Neodiprion lecontei: one gene and its partner. The protein of the gene in region 1 binds, or shares a complex with, the protein of each later gene. Links are inferred from orthologs where the notes say so. Each region holds a gene or a part of one and is shown in the gene's direction. Other genes may lie near its edges. The genes, in order: probable N-acetyltransferase san and huntingtin-interacting protein K.

The links.
Region 2: probable N-acetyltransferase san (region 1) and huntingtin-interacting protein K share a complex: the UniProt entries of both Homo sapiens proteins name them as parts of the N-terminal acetyltransferase E (NatE)/HYPK complex. The link is inferred for Neodiprion lecontei from reciprocal best matches to the Homo sapiens genes NAA50 and HYPK.

The regions. Positions count from the first base shown.
Region 1 is NC_060265.1:27,202,192-27,205,029, reverse strand, and holds probable N-acetyltransferase san, read left to right. Parts: upstream 1-973; 5' UTR 974-1,182; coding exon 1,183-1,190; intron 1,191-1,329; coding exon 1,330-1,486; intron 1,487-1,659; coding exon 1,660-1,826; intron 1,827-1,935; coding exon 1,936-2,113; 3' UTR 2,114-2,211; downstream 2,212-2,838. UniProt on the Homo sapiens protein: N-alpha-acetyltransferase that acetylates the N-terminus of proteins that retain their initiating methionine. Has a broad substrate specificity: able to acetylate the initiator methionine of most peptides, except for those with a proline in second position.
Region 2 is NC_060263.1:7,160,759-7,164,490, reverse strand, and holds huntingtin-interacting protein K, read left to right. Parts: upstream 1-1,462; 5' UTR 1,463-1,564; coding exon 1,565-1,720; intron 1,721-1,993; coding exon 1,994-2,101; intron 2,102-2,655; coding exon 2,656-2,751; 3' UTR 2,752-2,917; downstream 2,918-3,732. Other genes in the region: uncharacterized protein LOC124293900, read left to right, coding at 832-971. UniProt on the Homo sapiens protein: Component of several N-terminal acetyltransferase complexes. Inhibits the N-terminal acetylation activity of the N-terminal acetyltransferase NAA10-NAA15 complex (also called the NatA complex).

The DNA.
Region 1 (2,838 bases):
TCACTGTTGTCTATTTCCATATTTATTCACCGCATGTTATTCAAGGACAAAAATTCGGTTTCAAAGGGACTATTTTGAGTTATTAAAAAATTATCACCCTAAGTATTCTTACTTTCTCCAGGTTGCTCCATACTTTGAATGTAGTAGTTCTCGTAGTAGCTGTTCAGGTTGAATGGTAACACACTTCTAATTAGGCTGTTATAAGGAAATAGTAGAATTTTACCCACACTCATTACACACGCGACAGTTTTTACGTCACTAAAGACTGTCCGTGTCAAAAAAAAACTTTTTCTTCGTAATATTTCAGTAACTTTTGATGCACTAAGAAATGAACTACGCAACAGAATAACAAAAAACTCATCACATCGGCACAAATATTAAATATCTACGACACTATTAGACATACCTATGCATTTTGTTGTAGCGATCGTATATCACTTCTCGTACCCGAAATAAACGCGACGAAATAAAAATGGAACGTCCTGAAGTGAATAGCATCGGATGATTTTTCTATGAATTCACCGAAAATATTTCACCAATTTAGTCATACAGTTGAAGTACGTAACAGTCGAATTGCTATCGTCATTTGTTCAGCGTTAGAAAATCCGGTCGCAGGCATACTTCACTGAAACGATCCTCTTGGTGACTTTGAACTGTTTATTTGACGATCAGTTCACAATGCCAGCCTCACAAACCGGGTTAATGACAAAAAAAATCCTCACACTAAGCAGAAATTCGCACAAATTCGACATTCAGCACGCGACCGAAGCACGTTCGAACTTCTCATCTTCCCAGAATTCCGTGAGTTACCTGAAGGCAGCCGCTGCAGAATCACGCTTGTGCTAGCGGTTGAGCGGCAAAATAAAAAAAAAAAGAACATCGCAATTTTGACTGTCGGTACGTCGACATGAGGGGTGTTCTACTTTGCTGACTGATACTGCTTGTAGATATCTTCACAGGGCGTCCACTAACCCTATCCCGCCTATTCGTATCTTTACCACCTTCACCTAGCTCCGACTGCAGACGAAATTTTCGGAGGGATTCGAAGTACCGCACGAATCGCTCATTTTGATCTGAATATTATTTATTGACGACTACAGTACCTTACCTGACTAGCGTTTTCACGCATTTATTTGTAGAAATTTATTTATTTTGAGATAGGTGAATATCTATTAACGTATAATGACAAGGTGAGTAACCGTGTGTCCCAAATTTGAGGTTAGACTGCCGACCGTTGCTGCATGCTCGACGAATTGTATTTAAAAATATTTTTGCCCATTATACCTTGCAACTATATAGCAATAATTATTTTCCTTTATCAACGCACAGATCAAAGATAGAATTGGGGGATGTTACACCCCACAACATAAAGCAATTGAAACTGCTTAATCAAGTCGTATTTCCTGTCTCGTATAACGAGAAATTCTACAAAGACGTCTTGGAGGCTGGCGAGCTGGCTAAACTCGCTTACTATAATGACATTGTGGTATGTTATTTAATTCGACTCATAGATAATTATATATCCCTGACAAGCAAAATTTAGTCTCCTTTCACACATGTGGTATTCCAATCCCAGCTACACAGATTTACGTATGAAACAGTTCGGATGTCACTAGCATAAATATTTTCAAACAGTTTATCTTCAAACACTAATTTCAGGTAGGGGCTGTGTGTTGTCGTGTAGATACCTCAGAGAACTCGCGCCGTTTGTATATAATGACTTTGGGATGTTTGTACCCTTATAGACGACTGGGGATCGGCACTGTTATGGTACAACATGTACTTAATTATGTCTCTAAAGACGGGAATTTTGACTCGATATTCCTGTAAGTTATTTGAGTTACTTATTTAATTTACAAAATCTCCACACATAGTCTAAATTGAACTGAGCGCATGAAGTTCTTTTATTAACGTGTTGCTTCTGCTTTTGATCAGCCACGTACAAGTTAACAACGAGGGGGCTATTGATTTCTACAAAAAGTTCGGCTTTGAAGTTGTTGAAACGAAAAAACATTACTACAAACGTATCGAACCTGCAGACGCACATGTGTTACAAAAAACTTTGCGCCCGCCAACAACAGCTAATCATCAAAATCAATCAGCAAGTCAATGAATAAATTCTCTTCATGTATCAATCTTCCATCATCTGTTTTCATCGTATAATGTTATCTGCTGTACAAATTGTCAATAAAAATTGTTCCTTATATCCAATTTTTGTATAACCTATCGTGAAAAATTTAGCACTAGTAATAAAATGGACAGTTCTAATCAATTTCAATTCGAATTGAACCACATACAAACAGTGTCAACACTGAAAATTGAACACGATCTAGGTGTTTACTAAAAAAACTCGAACATTTATTGTTTGGTTAGTGTACAACATAGATAAATTTAGTTAGCTTCATAATTTTTCAATTACATCTGTTACAACATAGATAAAATTCAACTCTGGTAGGGAGAAATTCTTCAATTCACGTAACTTTCACCGGTTCGTAATATAAATATAGCATCGTCACGTATTTGTTACTTATCACCAATAACACATGAATTATTTCTGGAAAACTTCAATATACATTCCCAGCATAATAAGTACTTCAAAGAGATTTCACCTTGAATTATTGTGTAGCTGCTTGATCTTACATATATTTTGGAATCTCACCTGTCCTGTACGGCTTATGACCGTATTTTGGAATACAACTAAATTGACTAAATTCATGTATAGAAATAGATCGCTCATTAGAATAAATATAATACAATTCATTTAAATATTAGATGTGCAAGCCAACATGTAGTAACAATTGAATCCTGTAGTTAGCAACCAGAAGCTTATTACCTAAA
Region 2 (3,732 bases), on another chromosome or scaffold:
GGATGATAAAATATTTTATTCGTACCTTCCAAATGTGTGTTAAAATACACTTGAAGTTTTAAGAAGCTTCGTTCGGTCTTTCCCTATCAAAAAAAAAAAAAAAAAATCGTCGACAATCACCCTCTTAGGTCTTTAAATCAGGACACCGTGTTAAATACTGTTTCATATACGGAGCATCCATTTCATCTCGATTGAAATTAGCGTATCCGTGATGTATTACAGTTACTCTGAATGTTTTTCCATACGAACACTTTTTAAAAAACAATTCTGCTTCTCTTCCTGACGTAGATACTTCACTTGCGACTAGCTAAAATAGCGTTTCGATTTTATGCCCACGATAATTTAAGATCGAGAGAGCAAATGAAAAGTTTTTGGAATGATTATCAATATTAATATTATGGAATACATCGAGCGCGGGTCGAATAGAATCCCATTTCGAAATGAATATTTCTTCTATTTTCATATCATAGACGTATTATTGTAGATAATCTAGTTTGCCTCCTGAAAAATTATCAAATTTATAGTATGCGTCACGTATTAATCGTAAAGGGATCATACAGATTAATATCGTACATGGACCGCATATACATATATACTTTCTGGTCTCTGCATCATTATTACATCTGATCTATTATTATTCATGATCTATGTATCCATTCTTCTCTCGGGTACCTATACTGTAATTAAATCACTGTTTTCGAAATCGGTACCTCTCTGATGTTTTGCAATAAGTTCTCAACTCTACCGTTGGAACATCTCAGAGAGAGCGCACGACGATTTTCGGTTGTCACACCAAATCCTATTAAGTACAACTGTCTTTATATTTTTCAGCCAACGTAGGAGGTGTTTGGCGGCGGTCGGCAGCGATCGGAGGTGGTCGAGGAGGACCAGGACGACGCGACGTCGAGTGGCCCGAGCAGGAGGCGGAGGGGTACAAGGTGAACAAGGAGGATGAAGTTGGTCGGAGATGATCGGCGGAGGTTGATGGTGATTGGGGGTGGTTGCTGGCGGACGCGGTTACGCTTCTTCCCACGGGTATAATCGAGCTGATCGACATTTCTAAGTCGCAGTCGACAAGAAGTCTTACGTACTCACTTTGTACTGACTCAATCTGAAGCCTTGATACCGAAACTTCTTTGCTACTACGAATGTCAGTGCAAGCTCGTTAGAGAGAGTCGATAGAGCAGAACTCCTCTAGGTAGGCTCCCAGGCCCACCTGGACCCACTTGCCCGCCGAAAACTGGTCACAAAAATTTATCCAGGGGTATCCGTCTTTATGTTCTTCAGTCAACGCCTGAATTCGAAATAGCTAGACTTATCCGACAATGCATTATCTTTCTGGATACACGTGACGGTAACATTAGTCTTTTCGGCCTTAAAGACTATACGTACCGACAGTTCGCCTACTTTAGTTGCGCAACGCAGAGGGCGCTGCTTGACGATGAATTTACGATGAATTTGTCTCGTCCATTTGCGCTCACGGAAAGCCCCATAAGGATAGCAAACTTTATACATCTCCAATCAACGCTAGTGCTATACAAAAATCCACAATCTGTGTTCGACAATGGCGGACGAAGATGTGAATGGGGATTCTGACGAGGTGCAGCAGGAAAAGTCACAAAAGAAAGCTGCAAAATATGATAGTGGTGCTGCGGATTTGGAAAGAGTAACGGATTACGCAGAGGAGAAGGAAATTTCTTCGTCAGACGATTTCTCATGCGTAAGTTCAATCCACGTGCACCACACTATCTGAACCATTCATTTATACCATAATCATCGTCATATTTCATACACGCATTGTTTTGAGTTACAAATAAATTCCCTCATCAAATTGTTCCATTTTCCTCGTATTAATTCAAATGCTAAGTTGTTATTCGTTTCAAAGATTCGACAAATTTCTCACGCCATTCAAAAGTGTCTAAATGGAACCTAACCTATCTTCAATTCTTCGCTATGCACCAGTGTAATGATAATCGTCATTGTCTTAACTTAGGCGCTAACCATCATCGGAGATCGACGGAATAAGGAAGCAGCTGAAAAAATTGCTAAAGAGAAAGAATTGCTCAAGGTCTCCATTCATAAAGACGATGTGGATCTTATCGTAAGTATTTGAAGAATAATCATTGTAAATTTTTTCACTGGAACAGTTTGTAACTGTTTGAGGGGATACAATTTGATAGGTAAACTACAATCTTAGCAAAAATATTAACCTCAAGTCTCTGTGCAACGTCGCAATGTATACTTCTATCAAAATAAATCTTTCATCTACTTCAGACACATCCTTACTTCCTGATTCGCAAGTTTCAAGTGTCATACACAACAGATTAAAACCCATTACAAACAGTCTCAATCAAAACTATGGTAGTAGAGCAATTAATTAATTTATAACCTGTGGCATGAGGTGAAGAAATATGCTTCAAAGAAATCTTATACTCCAGTTATTTATAAATTTGTCATTCTCGATAAATAGAATACTATTACACATTTGAAACCTCCTCTGGAGATCGCAATTCACTGTTACACTATATATTATTTACTACTCCCATCTTTGATAGTATGTATTTTTATTTGTAGGGATTCTCGTTGGTGTACTTTTTACAGTGAACCCTACCAATTGTAGTAAGAATTTTTACAGTAGTTGTTTGGATATTTCAGATGAAAGAGATGGAAATAAGTCGAAGCTTGGCTGAACGGACATTAAGAGAGCACAGAGGAGATGTTGTTGAGGCCCTTGTTACTCTGACCAACTGAGTTGAGATTATCTATGAAAATATTAGCTTCTCATTATTCCAAGCACTATTGTAAATTACGCAACGTATATATTTACATAGAAAACGAGGGAGGAACTTGTAAACTGAAGTTTGAATACGAATATTTATTATTAATATAAAATAAAAACTTTAAAAAAATACATAAATCCACAAACTTCTTATAATTTTTCATCCACTCGAATCAAACTTGTCATCTTTATCTTCTTTCTTTGTTAACGTATAAGATTGTACCAAATCTGGTGTTATTCTTTGATCAATGTTCCATCGAAACGTTTCAATTCCATTTCTCCTTACACTATAATTGTGAGGAAATTATGCCGAATGAAAATTCCAAAATCGTCGCCCTCAGCTTACTTTACAAATGGAGAAACCAGTAATTTGCCTCAAGATTACATTCTTTCTTGCATTGTCGTTGATCTTGTCTTTCAAAAGCCAACTGCAACATTATAAAAATTCTATTGCTATCATGATTTACACATACTCGAAAATTGTCAAATTGTGAAATGATACGGCACCTAATTATTTGTGTTGGAAAAAAAAATATCAAATTTAATTCAATAAACAATGCCAATTGCTTTTTTCATCGCAATTAAAATCGCTGAAATTACCAAACAGTGATAAAAAATGTATATAGCGACTACTAAATCCACACGTCAGATTATCGTAGTTATCATAATCCAGCTTTGAAACGACCACTTACATGTATGGCCTGTAATCAACACAAGAAAATTTCATCAATGACACAAAGGACTCTGTTATTTAAGTAAATGAGCTTAACTACTAGGGCTTGATATAGTTACGGCATCTGCTATAATTGAATGGAAAACGAATTGTATGCTCACGATTGCTTGTTCAATACTATAATCAGAAATAAAGTAGTTGTTAATAATCTTTTTTCATACGTTCAATAAAGATGATTCCTGAAAGAGATACAAGGATAAAAAATGTATGAATAATCAGA